Saccharomyces cerevisiae S288C: one gene and its partners. Changing the gene in region 1 together with any one later gene gives a genetic interaction. Each region holds a gene or a part of one and is shown on either strand. Other genes may lie near its edges.

The links.
Region 2: of STE12 (region 1) and STE11, changing one suppresses a phenotype caused by changing the other (phenotypic suppression), as found in Saccharomyces cerevisiae (5 studies listed by BioGRID, with this or other methods).
Region 3: of STE12 (region 1) and FUS3, changing one suppresses a phenotype caused by changing the other (phenotypic suppression), as found in Saccharomyces cerevisiae (3 studies listed by BioGRID, with this or other methods).
Region 4: of STE12 (region 1) and FAR1, changing one suppresses a phenotype caused by changing the other (phenotypic suppression), as found in Saccharomyces cerevisiae (3 studies listed by BioGRID, with this or other methods).

Annotation. Positions count from the first base shown.
Region 1 is NC_001140.6:272,600-276,740, forward strand, and holds STE12 (homeodomain family transcription factor STE12), read left to right. Parts: upstream 1-1,574; coding exon 1,575-3,641; downstream 3,642-4,141. Other genes in the region: SAM complex subunit SAM35, read left to right, coding at 28-1,017. UniProt on the Saccharomyces cerevisiae protein: Binds to the DNA sequence mediating pheromone induction (called the pheromone response element = PRE) which is found in the upstream control region of several a-, alpha- and haploid-specific genes.
Region 2 is NC_001144.5:848,126-852,519, reverse strand, and holds STE11 (mitogen-activated protein kinase kinase kinase STE11), read right to left. Parts: upstream 2,655-4,394; coding exon 501-2,654; downstream 1-500. Other genes in the region: NMD4 (Nmd4p), read left to right, coding at 1-25; YLR361C-A (uncharacterized protein), read left to right, coding at 2,841-3,137; DCR2 (phosphoprotein phosphatase), read left to right, coding at 3,396-4,394. UniProt on the Saccharomyces cerevisiae protein: Serine/threonine protein kinase required for cell-type-specific transcription and signal transduction in yeast. It is thought that it phosphorylates the STE7 protein kinase which itself, phosphorylates the FUS3 and or KSS1 kinases.
Region 3 is NC_001134.8:190,717-194,063, forward strand, and holds FUS3 (mitogen-activated serine/threonine-protein kinase FUS3), read left to right. Parts: upstream 1-1,734; coding exon 1,735-2,796; downstream 2,797-3,347. Other genes in the region: PEP1 (type I sorting receptor), read right to left, coding at 1-867. UniProt on the Saccharomyces cerevisiae protein: Together with closely related KSS1, FUS3 is the final kinase in the signal transduction cascade regulating activation/repression of the mating and filamentation pathways, induced by pheromone and nitrogen/carbon limitation, respectively.
Region 4 is NC_001142.9:123,249-127,877, reverse strand, and holds FAR1 (cyclin-dependent protein serine/threonine kinase inhibiting protein FAR1), read left to right. Parts: upstream 1-1,549; coding exon 1,550-4,042; downstream 4,043-4,629. Other genes in the region: SSY5 (Ssy5p), read left to right, coding at 1-1,025. UniProt on the Saccharomyces cerevisiae protein: Inhibitor of the cyclin-dependent kinase CDC28. Necessary for cell cycle arrest. Involved in pheromone response. Contributes to mating efficiency. Required for oriented polarization of yeast cells in response to mating pheromones.

The DNA of each region.
Region 1 (4,141 bases):
AGGGCTAAAACGAAGCCATCGTGCACAATGGTAAGTTCATTCAGTGTTCCCATGCCAGTAAAACGGATATTTGACACATTTCCGTTACAAACATATGCTGCGCAGACTGACAAGGACGAGGCCGTTGCATTAGAAATACAGCGGAGGTCCTACACATTCACAGAACGCGGTGGTGGAAGCTCTGAGTTGACTGTGGAGGGGACGTACAAGCTAGGTGTTTACAACGTTTTTTTGGAGGCAAATACAGGGGCGGCATTGGCCACAGATCCATGGTGTCTGTTTGTTCAGCTTGCGCTGTGTCAAAAGAATGGTCTAGTCTTACCCACGCACTCGCAGGAACAAACCCCATCGCATACCTGTAACCATGAAATGCTCGTTCTGTCCCGTCTTTCTAACCCCGATGAGGCCCTACCTATTCTAGTTGAGGGTTACAAGAAGAGAATTATAAGATCCACCGTGGCAATCAGCGAAATTATGAGGTCTCGGATACTTGATGATGCTGAGCAGTTGATGTACTATACGTTGCTGGATACCGTGCTGTACGATTGTTGGATCACGCAAATAATTTTCTGTGCCTCAGATGCGCAATTCATGGAATTGTACTCTTGCCAGAAGTTAAGTGGTTCGATAGTCACTCCATTGGACGTAGAAAACTCTTTATTACAGAAGTTGTCCGCAAAGAGTTTGAAGATATCCCTAACAAAGCGGAACAAGTTCCAGTTCCGCCATCGAGAAATCGTCAAGAGTATGCAAGGAGTTTATCACAACCATCACAACTCCGTTAATCAAGAGCAGGTCTTGAACGTTTTGTTCGAGAATAGCAAGCAAGTTCTTTTAGGTTTAAAAGATATGTTGAAAAGCGACGGGCAACCCACTTACTTACATCTGAAAATTGCAAGTTACATTCTTTGTATAACGAACGTTAAGGAACCCATAAAGCTAAAGACATTTGTTGAAAACGAATGTAAAGAATTGGTCCAGTTTGCACAAGACACCCTGAAGAACTTCGTTCAGTAATCACTTTCAAGCTGTAGTATGTAAACGATATAGATGAAGTTTTCGTGTGTATAAATATATGAACTCTAGAGTGTTGCATAATTTGAAACACAGCATTTCTTTTCGGAGAGCTCGTTTCAAAATGAAACAAACGCCGTTGTCCGTTTTCGTCTCAATAGAAAAAGTGAAACAGATAAAAATTGTTTTAAAAGAAACGAATTTGCAACATCTTAAGATATATCAAAACTAATACAAAACAGCCTAAAAAAGATTGAACAACTCTTCGCGGTCAGGTCTCGACACCATAAATCGAAGTACTCGTACGCTAGTTTTCTCGCACATAGTACCACTACGTTCCTTTTACAATTAGATTACTTCTTTTTAGTTGACTTTTTTGAGACGTTCGTGCCATTCATAAAATAGGAAAAGATAACAGGTAAGCACTGAAGACTTGTTTTATAAGTGTCCCAAGCGAGACCTAGAGTGGATATTGATATTTCTCAAACAAGACTCGTCGAAGAAAACACACTTTTATAGCGGAACCGCTTTCTTTATTTGAATTGTCTTGTTCACCAAGGATGAAAGTCCAAATAACCAATAGTAGAACAGAGGAAATCTTAAAAGTTCAAGCTAATAATGAAAACGATGAAGTCAGTAAAGCTACTCCGGGCGAAGTTGAAGAATCGCTAAGGTTAATCGGCGATCTAAAATTCTTTTTAGCCACAGCGCCGGTAAATTGGCAAGAAAACCAAATTATAAGGCGATACTATCTGAATAGTGGACAAGGCTTTGTCTCTTGTGTATTTTGGAACAATCTATACTATATTACAGGTACTGATATTGTCAAATGTTGTCTTTACAGAATGCAAAAGTTTGGGAGAGAAGTAGTTCAAAAGAAAAAATTTGAAGAGGGTATTTTTTCAGATTTAAGAAATCTCAAATGTGGTATAGATGCAACTTTAGAACAACCAAAGTCCGAATTTTTGTCGTTTCTATTCAGAAATATGTGTCTGAAAACCCAAAAAAAGCAGAAAGTATTTTTTTGGTTCAGTGTAGCACATGATAAGTTGTTTGCGGATGCGTTGGAAAGAGATTTAAAAAGAGAAAGTTTGAATCAGCCTTCAACGACTAAGCCCGTTAATGAGCCCGCCTTATCTTTTTCATATGATTCCTCATCTGATAAGCCTCTCTACGATCAGTTACTTCAACATTTAGATTCTAGAAGACCATCTAGTACAACAAAATCAGATAATTCGCCTCCAAAATTAGAAAGCGAGAATTTTAAGGATAATGAGTTGGTAACAGTAACTAATCAGCCGCTTTTAGGCGTTGGCCTCATGGATGACGATGCGCCAGAATCCCCCTCTCAAATTAATGATTTTATTCCTCAGAAATTGATTATAGAACCCAATACTCTCGAATTGAATGGTCTCACAGAAGAAACGCCTCATGACTTACCCAAGAATACCGCTAAGGGCAGAGACGAAGAAGATTTTCCTCTCGACTATTTTCCTGTATCTGTTGAATACCCTACGGAGGAAAATGCGTTTGATCCGTTCCCTCCACAGGCTTTTACGCCAGCTGCCCCTTCCATGCCTATTTCCTATGATAACGTGAATGAAAGGGATTCTATGCCCGTTAATTCTCTTCTTAATAGATACCCCTATCAGTTATCAGTGGCACCCACTTTCCCAGTGCCACCATCATCATCGAGGCAACATTTTATGACAAATCGGGATTTTTATTCATCTAACAATAACAAGGAAAAATTGGTATCTCCTAGCGACCCTACCAGCTACATGAAGTATGACGAACCAGTTATGGATTTTGATGAATCTCGGCCAAATGAAAACTGTACAAATGCAAAATCTCACAACTCTGGCCAGCAAACTAAACAACACCAATTATATTCTAACAACTTCCAGCAATCTTACCCAAACGGAATGGTTCCAGGATACTACCCAAAAATGCCGTATAATCCCATGGGGGGGGATCCTCTACTCGATCAAGCCTTTTATGGCGCGGACGATTTTTTCTTTCCACCAGAAGGATGTGATAACAATATGCTGTATCCACAAACTGCAACTTCATGGAATGTTTTGCCCCCTCAAGCTATGCAACCAGCTCCAACCTATGTTGGGAGACCATACACACCGAATTATAGATCGACACCAGGTTCCGCGATGTTCCCATACATGCAAAGTTCAAATTCCATGCAGTGGAACACTGCTGTTTCACCTTATAGTTCGAGAGCACCATCTACAACTGCTAAAAACTATCCTCCTAGCACATTTTATTCTCAAAATATAAATCAATACCCACGGCGAAGAACTGTGGGAATGAAGTCTTCACAAGGAAATGTTCCAACAGGTAATAAACAATCTGTGGGCAAGTCTGCAAAAATTTCAAAGCCTCTACATATTAAGACAAGTGCTTATCAGAAGCAATACAAAATCAACTTGGAAACGAAAGCCAGGCCAAGTGCTGGTGACGAAGATTCTGCTCATCCTGATAAGAACAAAGAAATTTCGATGCCTACTCCGGATTCCAATACTTTGGTGGTCCAGTCAGAAGAAGGTGGAGCTCATTCACTTGAGGTAGATACCAATCGAAGGTCCGATAAAAACCTTCCAGATGCAACCTGATATAATATAATTTTTGAATTTATGATACAAGAATTAAAAATGCGGGCCAGAATTTAATATTAAACAATACTCAGAAGAAAACAACAAGGACAATCTGTTTTTATAAATAAAACAATCTTATACAAGACTAGAGCAAACAAAAAGCAAGAAAAAAAGGTAATAAATGTAACAAATCTATTAACGTTAGAAAATAACAAAAAAAAAAAAAGAAAAAGATAATATAATATAATACCTTTATATATGTGATTTATCTAGCGTCACAGTATGTAATATAAATATCAATGAGTTTCTTAACATGACCTCCAAAACTACATGATCGCTTAGTATTACAATATGTGTTTATCCACTATTTTGATACCAACGTAGTATTGCCTTTTATTTTTCAGAATGGCAAAGGCCATCGGAAAATTTTTCCACCAGAAAAAGCGAGATTCCTAATTATAAGGTGAAGGCATCGATGTTCATAATAGTTAAAAGTTGTAATCAAAAAAGAAAAAGGT
Region 2 (4,394 bases), on another chromosome or scaffold:
TACAGGCGAATTGTGGTCCCCATAAAAACAAGCATTTTTCAAATATTTCAATATCATTTTTGATAGATGGCTTTATCTTATGAGAAAAATTGGTAACAGATTATTCATGTGAATGAAACTCTATGGATTATTTCCTTGCTTTTGTCTATCTACCTCCTTTTCCTAGAGCAGGTTATTGAGAAGATATCAATGGTTTGATATCACCTCGCAAAGAAAGGCCTGTTTCTTCGTGCTTCCATCTGTGCGGTCGGATTTTTTTATCAGAATTATCTTACTTGATTTTATTCCAGGGGTATGAGAATCAAATACCGTCATCTAGTTTGGTCTTTTTTTCACAATTGTGATTTATGATTACTTAATCAGCGTAATTGAAAAAAAAAAACCGGTAAATAGCAGATATATTCAATAAATGTCACTAAATATGATATATATGTATTATTTGATAAAAAATCGGCCAGAGCACTTTAGTGCCATAAAAAGAATTAATAAGTAGCCCTTTTTCAAATTATGTGTGCATCCAGCCATGGATGCTGCAGCAATTCAAGGGCACTAGGCCTGTATTGATAATCCAACTCAAATGCCTTTCTTAAGAAATTCTTTCCTTCTGACGTAGCCCAGGAAGGTATCTCGGGGGTCGTGTTTGTGCCTATTTTGAAGATCGCTTGCATTTGAGAAAAATCTGGGAAAGGATGCTTACCGGTAAACATTTCAATGACAACACATCCTGTAGACCATATATCCGCTTTAGCAGTAGTAGCGGTCTGTTTGACCACCTCTGGTGACATCCAGAATACGGAACCTTGCAAAGAAGCTCTCTTATTTTGTTTTTTATTCAAAGGTGATAATTTTTTTGAAATACCAAAATCAGTAATTTTTACGCAACCTTTGATATCAATCAAAATATTTGCACCCTTGATATCTCTGTGAATAATGTTCTTCTTATGCAAATACGCAACCCCAATCAGTATTTGCCTAGTGAAATTAGTAATCAGTGATTCCTCAAATGGACCGTAATTATTCAGCATGGAGGAAACCGAACCCCCAGGAACGTATTCAAGAAAAATATTTAAATTTCCGCCTTCTTGAGAAGCACCATAATAAGTAACAATGTTCTCATGATGTAACTCCTTCAATAAATTCATTTCATGCTGTAAAGCATCAACCATCTTTCTGTGAATATTTTGATTGGTTTTTGGATGACTTACCGCCCCAACATCTTCTATTTTCTCTTGTTGTTCCTCCTGCTCATTATTCTCATCAGAATTGGCTTGTTTATTGTTGTCTGTGGGAACACCAATGTTATTATTTTTTATCTCCACTTGCTTTACTGCCATTAGTTCACCAGTGTGAGCATTCATGCCCAAGTAAACACTCCCAAAACTGCCTGATCCAATGCAAGCACCTTTTAACCAATTCTTGGGCGTGGCAATTTTCGTCGGTAATGAAACAATGTCACTGTCCTCCCCAAAGAAATCGTGATCTTCTTCTTCACCAGACTCTACACTTAATAGTTCTAACTGGTTAGATATGGCATCATTATCTTCTGGCCTTTTATGGGCAAGCTTCGGAATTTTAGTTGTGTCAAGTTTACTGCTTAATCTTGTCTGATCTAATCCTTGTAATAGGGCCATATCAACAGCGTTTGAGTGTTTCAATAGTATGTCACCGATATTATTTGATTCTGCACTTAAAGGTCTTCTTTGAGCAATGCTTAGCCTTGCTGAATGGCGAAATGACTCTCTCATCGTCTTTTGCAACCGCTTCATGTCTGTATGAGGAAAATATCCGGCCAAATTGGTAGAAATAAATTCGCTAGGAGGCCTCTGATTAAAAATCTGTCTAATTCTGTCCTTTTCTGTGTTGTCGATCCGGAGTTTCCCTTCAGCATTGTTATGCGAAATCCCCTTGTTCTGTGCCAACAAATTTGACGAGGATGGCCCAACCTGGCTCAATGCACTCAACGTTCTTAGATATAGTTTTTTGGATGTGGATATAGCTTTATCACTTGGTGTTTGGTCTTTGGAAACAAAAATTAGCCTATTTTTCTCAACACGATCATTTGCGTGGCAAATAGTGACTAATTCCACGTCATATAGCAAATGCAGTACGTTCTTGGTATAATCTAAGACAAACACATCATAATCTTGGACCATTTTAGTTACTTCTCCATTGGAGTTTGTGGCTAATAATTCATGTGGCAATCTTCTGATTAGCCTTTTCTTAATAGAATCTGCATTAAAGCAACCATTTACATTAACTTTCTTAGCGGAACCATCGTTTAAGATAAATATAACACAGTGCTTTTCAGGAATCAATTCTGAATTCATCGATAGCGTAGCAGTGGATAGAGAGCTTACTTTTTCCATCAGGTTTTTCAATCTATTCACCTGTTCAATCCGTTTATCTCTCTGGAACGATTTTGACTTCCTTAAAATTTTGAGTCTGTCTCCTATTTTGTTTACACCCAAAGCAATGAGGATATCCTTGTCGAGATACTTAATTTCTTCTTCTGTGACAAGGTTGCACTGAATAAAGCTATCCAGGTATTGAGTGCATCCTATTTCCTCCAGAAATAACTGCACAAAAGGTAAATCGTTGGTCTTTTCGTCACCAATTAGTAAGTCAGTGCCCTCTGCTGTTTGTGTCTGTTCCATGTATATTTCGTCTACCGGTGATCTTATCATACTAGCTTTATTAAGTGGTCTCTCTTTATGCATGTGTGTAAATATGAATATTTTCTACTGTTTAAAGCCATCGCGGCGAAAGCTTTACACCTTAAAAGGCTTTTAATGCTAGCCTGATAACGAAAGGCATGGTGAGGACAGCATAAAGAAACTATAATGGCAGTTAGTAATAATAATAATAATAATAATAGTAAAGAACGCACCCAAAATATAAAAGAAGTGGAGGAAAAGTTGGGCGAGAATCCAAAGATTACTTTAAAAGGGGGAGGGAAAACTAAAATCATGGATTTTGAACAGTTACGCAAGCCCCATTGCGTAAGACCCAGTGCAAGATTTCCAGTTGAAGATACTGCCGGTGGTTTATTGAGAACGGGTGGCCACAGGCCTCAGATAAGTGATGAAGAAGTCTCTAAAAGGCACCATGAACAGTCTCATGGACAAGAAGATCATTAATAGTATTGTATATAGGACTTGCTCAGTTATATTTCATTTCTATTTCATAAGCTAGAAGGCTAACTTGTATAAAGCTGCGCAGAAAGTGTTTCCATTTTACGTATATTTAGATTTATATTTTGCCTTAGGTGCTTTTTGAATTTCAAATGGTTTAGTGTTGATCTTTTTCAAAAATTAATCTTTTTAGATCGCAGATACCTCTGATACAAGTTTTATACTTAAGTATCGAAGACCAGCACCGTGGTTAAAAATCTTAACATGATCCGGTTACCGAGGCTGTATCAAAGGTACCTATTATACTTGGTAGTTTTTGTAGTGATTGCCCTATTTTACTTCCTACAGGCGCCAAGAGTTGAAGAGCACATTGGTTTCGACCTTGCACTCCCGATATCACACGTTGATAATCTATGGTTCCAAAATAAAGGTCTAGAGGGATTCTCAAATGACGATAAGCTAGTTGTAAATATAGGCTATGACGAATGTTTTCATATTGGTCGTTTTTATGAAGGATGTTTTAATCGGCATGAACTTAAATCAACTTTAACTGATGGGCACCAATACTTACAAAGGAAAAGAATTCATAAAGACTTGAGAGGTTCCTTTGGACGCAGGTGGTTTGGAAAGTCAGAATACCTTTACTATGATGTGTTATACCCTGCTTTGGTGGACTACTTTGGATCCAACCTAGAAAAGCTAAATGTTGAGGCAGTAACTGGAATTTCCAAATATCCTAAAGACAAATCGCTACCCTTTATGGATGTATCCATCACATTCGAGCCTATTAGCATAGAACTATTGCAGAAAAGGAGCTACATAAGCGATATTAACATTCTCTTTGGTGTTGATTGCATCCAGCCGATAGCAAATTGGACTCTTCAAAAAGAATTTCCCTTAGTAAAATACCGCTACAGCGAACCTGCTTATTTGACTTACAAATTCGTTGGTACTCGTCCTGTAGACACAGGAGCTCAACGGCTGCAAGAAACTGATGAAGGAAAGTTCAAAATTGTTCAGTTGGCGGATCTCCACTTGGGTGTGGGGGAGTCTGAATGTATCGATGAGTATCCAAAGCATGAAGCTTGCAAGGCAGATCCAAAAACGGAAACTTTCGTTCAACAAGTTCTTGACATTGAAAAACCGCAGTTGGTTGTTTTTACTGGTGACCAAATCATGGGTGATAGATCTATTCAAGACTCTGAAACCGTATTATTAAAGGCGGTAGCACCCGTCATTGCAAGAAAAATTCCGTGGGCAATG
Region 3 (3,347 bases), on another chromosome or scaffold:
ATATCTGTCGCCCTGGGTTAAGACAACCATGTGAGATTTCAATATCCTGTAACCATTGACGACCTTATCTTTAAATTGGTCAAATTCTTTTAGTGATTTGCCCCAGTCCGTAGTTAGGACCAATTTACTTTCGGTGTAAGGAGAACTAAACTCATCCATAATAAGCTGCATATTTTGAAAAAGACAGATTATTGAGGTATCACTACTTTCAAGGTCAGAATCTTTGCTGGTCTTGGCAAAGCCACAATCAGAAATGCTGATAGGACTATTTTCGTTCCTTTCTAGAGAAGACTTGATCTCAGAAAAGGATTTTCCACCATCATTACTTGCAAAAACCTTGTCTGTGCAACGTGTAATATTAAATATTTCAAATTGTCCCTCTTCGTCCCCCGAATTCTCTTCATTGTCATTGTTTACTTCTGTTTTCTCACAATAGTTGCACTTTGCAAGAAAATAGTTCTTATTCAAGGGATGGGTTTCTATATAGCATTCACGAGGTGAAATACTTTCTCCGGAGTCAGGTAGCGTTATACGCTCCCATGACTTACCTTGATCATTGGTTATATAAAGGTACGACCCATTCATTGCCGTTGCAACGGCTCTGTCATGTCTATTGAAGGGGTCGATGTATATCCAAGTGATTTCGCCTTCAATGCCTTCAACTTTTTCCCATGTTTCACCATCGTCAAAGCTTATAGTAACGGAGGTGTCTTGTTTTCTAATTAAAGTGTTGGAATCATCAAAGCTTAATATATCAAATGAATCTTGCGCGATAGTCTTTGTCACTTTGGGGGTGAATTCTTCGGCATTAGTTAAAGGAATGAGAAGTAAGGCCCAAAGAGAATAGACAAAATGAAGTAATATCATAACGTGTGATGACTACTGGACACTTCAGGGCTTTTCCAGATATACAGAGCTTTATAATACAATCTAAGGGCAAAATAAAAAAGGAAAAAGAGTACGGTAGTTGAGAAAAAAACCGGAAAGGAATTGCTTTAAAGATCTTAGTAGAATGAAATAGTACCACCTACTCGCCTCCTTTTTTTGTGCTTCTTGAGAGGTCTTTTGAGCTGTTGCATCATGCTGTTATTTAGAGGTTATTTTTTGACCTTGGTTTTTCCTTCTTTTCGCCGTACTCAGCCCGAGAAAAAAGCAGCGACTGCACTAAACTAGAGGAAAGAAGGCTTAAAACATCACGCGATCCATATAAAGACCCGAGTAGTTGGAGAGATTGACTACTTGACGTTCAAAAGAACATACATAAGGATAAATTCGTTCGGACTTTTTAACTTACACACATCTTTTGGTGTTCATTCAAGGGGCGGTAGTGCTTGTAGTCCGCACAGGCGGATACTTTTTAGTTTGGGAAGAGTTAACTGGAGAGGGCAGTTTACTTTCACATACTCTTTTATCTTTCTGAAGTAAAATGTGATGTACCTACAAGCAATGCATAAGCTCTTGAGTTTTAGATCTGTTTCACCCTGGAACTCAAAATTCTTTTACTCGAAATTTTTACTTTTTTTTTTTTTGTTTCTGCATTCTCTCAGATTTTAGATGATGCGGTTTTTTACAGGGCATTGAAACAATTGCAGAAAAGCAACATACTAATATATCATAACTTTTTACTCTTGCCTCTCAGAAACTATATATACGTTGTAATCATTTTCTTTCTTCTAATAGCTAGTTCGTTTGAACTACAAGGAAATAAGGCAGAGAAAAAGAAAGGAAAATAATATGCCAAAGAGAATTGTATACAATATATCCAGTGACTTCCAGTTGAAGTCGTTACTGGGAGAGGGTGCATACGGTGTGGTATGTTCTGCAACGCATAAGCCCACGGGAGAAATCGTGGCAATAAAAAAGATCGAACCATTCGATAAGCCTTTGTTCGCATTACGTACGCTGCGTGAAATAAAGATCCTGAAGCACTTCAAGCACGAAAATATCATAACAATCTTCAACATTCAACGCCCTGACTCGTTCGAAAACTTCAATGAGGTCTACATAATTCAAGAGCTAATGCAGACAGATTTACACCGTGTAATCTCCACCCAGATGCTGAGTGACGATCATATACAATATTTTATATACCAAACCTTGAGAGCAGTGAAAGTGCTGCATGGTTCGAACGTCATCCATCGTGATTTAAAGCCCTCCAACCTTCTCATAAACTCCAACTGTGACTTGAAAGTATGTGATTTCGGTTTAGCAAGAATCATTGACGAGTCAGCCGCGGACAATTCAGAGCCCACAGGTCAGCAAAGCGGCATGACCGAGTATGTGGCCACACGTTGGTACAGGGCGCCAGAGGTGATGTTAACCTCTGCCAAATACTCAAGGGCCATGGACGTGTGGTCCTGCGGATGTATTCTCGCTGAACTTTTCTTAAGACGGCCAATCTTCCCTGGCAGAGATTATCGCCATCAACTACTACTGATATTCGGTATCATCGGTACACCTCACTCAGATAATGATTTGCGGTGTATAGAGTCACCCAGGGCTAGAGAGTACATAAAGTCGCTTCCCATGTACCCTGCCGCGCCACTGGAGAAGATGTTCCCTCGAGTCAACCCGAAAGGCATAGATCTTTTACAGCGTATGCTTGTTTTTGACCCTGCGAAGAGGATTACTGCTAAGGAGGCACTGGAGCATCCGTATTTGCAAACATACCACGATCCAAACGACGAACCTGAAGGCGAACCCATCCCACCCAGCTTCTTCGAGTTTGATCACTACAAGGAGGCACTAACGACGAAAGACCTCAAGAAACTCATTTGGAACGAAATATTTAGTTAGCCATCATTATCATTAAAATATCAACCCGAAGAACAATGTATACATATACATATACGTACACATATACATATGTACATATGACATACGTATTAGCCGCTGAGGACGCGGACGTATAAAAGGACAATACTTATATGGAGCTAAGGGGAGCAGTTACGCAACTCCGTGATCGCGCGCCACGGGCCGTCGGCGGCTGTTAATTGAAGAAAAAAAAAATGAAGAACCACAAGGGGTGATCCATATAGGTGACTAGCATCATCCCCTGCGACGCGCGGCCCGCCGGGCCAAAGGCGGGCAATGCGCGCTGCTGATTGGCCTCGAGGACAACGCCCTCAACCACATCCGCAACAGCCAATCCCATCGGAGCGTCAAACTACCAAAGTAGTGATTGTATGGATGACCACTGTATTGTGGACGGTAAGCGCTTGCTGGAGCAAATGTGTAATCAAGTTGCTGTGTATATATAGACGTTAGATGTGTTCTACCCCTTCTTTTGTCTTGTGCCCACCGGGCTTACATTAGCACACAAAGCAGCAAGAGACCGTCTTACTAGA
Region 4 (4,629 bases), on another chromosome or scaffold:
TAAAGGTTCTTTATTCGTTGTTCCCAGATGTACACATGTATTGTGTGAAAGATTACATTAAAAAAGCTGCATCAGCAGTAGGCAGTATTCCGTCTCATACCGCAGCAACTATCGATACAATAGCCCCAACTAAATTTCAGTTTTCCCCCCCATATGCAGTTTCAGAGAATCCACTTGAATTGCCAATTTCTATGTCTTTATCCACTGAGACAAGCGCTAAAATTACAGGTACTTTAGGGGGTTATCTATTCCCTCAGACTGGTAGTGATAAAAAATTTTCTCAATTTGCAAGCTGCTCATTTGCCATTACTTGCGCCCACGTTGTATTATCTGAGAAGCAAGATTATCCAAACGTCATGGTACCTTCTAATGTTTTACAGACTTCTTACAAGAAAGTTTTAACGAAAGAATCAGATAGGTATCCTGATGGTTCGGTGGAGAAAACAGCATTTTTGGAGGAAGTGCAAAGAATAGATCAAAACTTGAACTGGCAGAAATCAAACAAATTTGGTCAAGTAGTTTGGGGCGAGAGAGCAATCGTAGATCACAGATTATCAGATTTTGCTATTATCAAAGTTAATTCATCATTCAAATGTCAGAATACCCTAGGTAATGGCTTAAAATCATTCCCAGATCCAACATTAAGATTTCAAAATTTACATGTGAAACGAAAAATTTTTAAAATGAAGCCTGGGATGAAAGTATTTAAAATAGGGGCTTCTACGGGATACACTTCAGGCGAGTTAAATTCTACAAAATTAGTTTATTGGGCCGACGGAAAGTTACAAAGTAGCGAGTTTGTCGTTGCATCTCCAACTCCTTTATTTGCTAGTGCGGGGGATTCAGGCGCATGGATCTTGACCAAGTTAGAAGATCGTCTAGGTTTGGGGCTTGTTGGTATGTTGCATTCATACGATGGTGAACAGAGGCAGTTTGGTTTGTTCACACCTATAGGTGATATCCTGGAGAGACTACATGCTGTAACTAAAATTCAATGGGACATTGATCCACAACTAGATGGATGATTTGCCTTTTTGAAGTTATTTAACCCATTACAGGATGAAAAAAAAAAGACATTGCACTTGCATCACTGTAGGAGCGACTATAAAACTCACCTTCATTGTTGCTTTATTTTTCCAAGTAAGGAAAAATATCTGTTTACTTTCATTTACCTCTTTGGTTTTGTTAGGCGGGCAAGAGAGACCCGGTCGTTTCAGAATGCAACTTTCTTTTGTTTGCATATCTTTTTTTTTCAGCGATGCAATTTTCAACATGCAGCCATTTCACCGAAAATACCTAAAAAGGAAATAGGCAATAAAATGACATCGTAAAGGTTTCAAATGCGAAGGTACCTTGGTTCACAGTATATAATATATTCAAATTATTAAAAGAAAATAAAACTATCCTTTTTGTTCACTCTGTCTTGAGAGTGTATATTATCTTATCTATTCAAAAAATTTCTATTTACTTTTATATTTCTTGACCATCCTTTACACAAAGTCTATAGATCCACTGGAAAGCTTCGTGGGCGTAAGAAGGCAATCTATTAATGAAGACACCAACAAGAGTTTCGTTTGAAAAAAAAATACACACTCCACCAAGTGGAGATCGTGACGCTGAAAGATCACCACCGAAGAAATTTCTAAGAGGTTTATCGGGTAAAGTTTTTAGAAAGACACCAGAATTTAAGAAGCAACAGATGCCCACATTTGGGTATATTGAAGAGAGTCAATTTACTCCAAATCTTGGCCTAATGATGTCCAAAAGAGGCAATATTCCTAAACCACTGAATCTTTCCAAGCCTATATCTCCCCCACCAAGTTTGAAGAAAACAGCGGGATCAGTAGCATCTGGTTTTTCGAAAACAGGACAACTTAGCGCTTTACAATCGCCAGTAAATATCACAAGTAGCAACAAATACAACATCAAAGCTACAAATTTAACTACTAGTTTACTCCGAGAGTCGATTTCTGATTCTACAACTATGTGTGATACTTTGTCAGACATCAATTTAACGGTTATGGATGAAGATTATCGCATTGACGGCGATTCATATTACGAAGAAGATTCACCAACTTTCATGATCAGCCTGGAAAGAAACATAAAAAAATGCAATTCACAATTCAGTCCAAAAAGGTACATAGGTGAGAAATGTTTAATCTGTGAGGAAAGTATTAGTTCCACATTTACCGGTGAAAAGGTTGTGGAGTCTACGTGTTCACACACTAGCCACTATAACTGTTATTTGATGCTATTTGAAACTCTTTATTTCCAAGGCAAGTTTCCTGAGTGTAAGATATGTGGCGAAGTGAGCAAGCCAAAGGATAAAGACATTGTTCCTGAAATGGTATCCAAACTTCTAACGGGCGCAGGCGCTCATGATGATGGTCCGTCATCCAATATGCAACAGCAATGGATTGATTTGAAAACGGCGAGAAGCTTCACAGGTGAATTTCCTCAGTTTACACCACAGGAGCAGCTCATTCGTACTGCTGATATTTCATGTGATGGGTTCAGGACACCACGCTTATCGAATAGCAATCAATTTGAGGCCGTTAGCTATCTTGATAGCCCATTTTTAAATTCACCATTCGTTAATAAAATGGCAACTACAGACCCTTTTGATTTAAGTGATGATGAAAAACTGGACTGTGATGATGAAATAGACGAAAGTGCTGCTGAAGTGTGGTTTAGTAAAACGGGTGGTGAACATGTTATGGTCAGTGTGAAGTTTCAAGAAATGCGGACCAGTGATGATTTAGGGGTCTTGCAAGATGTGAATCATGTGGACCACGAAGAACTAGAGGAAAGGGAAAAGGAATGGAAAAAGAAAATTGATCAATATATCGAAACAAATGTGGATAAGGATAGCGAATTTGGCAGTTTGATCTTGTTTGACAAACTAATGTATTCTGATGATGGCGAACAATGGGTAGACAATAACCTTGTAATATTATTCTCCAAATTTCTAGTTTTGTTTGATTTTGAAGAAATGAAGATCCTGGGTAAGATTCCTAGAGACCAGTTTTACCAGGTAATCAAGTTCAATGAGGACGTACTACTTTGTAGTTTGAAGAGCACTAATATACCTGAAATATACTTGAGGTTCAACGAAAACTGCGAAAAGTGGTTGCTTCCCAAATGGAAGTATTGTCTAGAAAATTCTTCACTGGAGACACTACCATTAAGTGAGATTGTTTCTACAGTGAAGGAACTCTCTCATGTGAATATAATAGGCGCTTTAGGAGCGCCGCCTGATGTTATATCAGCACAATCCCATGATTCTCGTCTACCGTGGAAAAGATTGCACAGTGATACGCCGCTAAAACTTATTGTATGTTTGAATTTGTCGCATGCTGATGGGGAACTGTATCGCAAGAGAGTTCTAAAGAGTGTTCATCAAATATTGGATGGATTAAACACAGACGATTTACTGGGAATAGTTGTTGTTGGAAGAGATGGATCCGGTGTAGTAGGCCCATTTGGCACCTTCATCGGAATGATAAATAAAAATTGGGACGGATGGACAACTTTCTTGGATAATTTAGAAGTGGTTAATCCAAACGTCTTCCGCGATGAAAAGCAACAGTATAAGGTAACATTACAAACTTGTGAAAGATTAGCGTCAACAAGTGCATACGTGGATACAGATGACCATATTGCAACTGGATACGCCAAGCAAATCTTGGTCCTCAACGGGAGTGACGTTGTTGACATTGAGCATGATCAGAAATTAAAAAAGGCCTTTGACCAGTTATCTTACCATTGGAGATACGAAATTTCGCAACGCCGCATGACTCCATTGAACGCTAGCATTAAGCAGTTTTTAGAGGAGCTGCACACTAAGCGTTATCTAGATGTAACTCTTCGTCTACCACAAGCTACATTCGAGCAAGTATATTTGGGGGATATGGCTGCGGGTGAACAAAAAACGCGTCTAATTATGGATGAACACCCGCATTCTAGTTTGATAGAAATAGAATATTTTGACCTGGTAAAGCAGCAAAGAATTCATCAGACCCTGGAAGTTCCCAACCTCTAGTAGTTCGGGAATCGAGGCCCGTATTTCGAGGCTTTTGCTTTTCCTTTTTTTTTTTTCGTTTCTCCACGTCTATACTACGCAATGACTGAATATATATAATGCGTCGTAAATAGCAGTTAATGTATAAATAGAAATTGAGTAAACTTTAATTTTGCCTAAGAAAGAACCTATTGGCGATAATTAAATCTCGTCATATATGCACTATATATTTTTTTTCGTTTGGCGTTGTTTATCTATTTCCCGAACGGGATTATTTCCCTGAATTAGTTCATAATGAAAAAAACTCGCAGCCGGGTAACCCTCTTCGTACCAAAAATGCACGTGTCTGTACACAATTATACCAACATGGTTGTAGCATTTCAAGTTAGCTTGTTCGAGCTGTATAGTAAAAGAAACGTCGATGTGGCTAATTTGTTCCGGTGACTTTCAGGTCACGTGTTTTCCATGCGTGCGTTGCTTCTTCCTGCAAATCCACGGCTCGTAAAAGAGGACAATCAGCTTTTTTCCGTGGTGCCTGGCCGGGCCGCCTATGCATTCCATACGATTTCCACGGGCCAGATCCCGCCTAGCCCTTCCAGCTTTTCTTT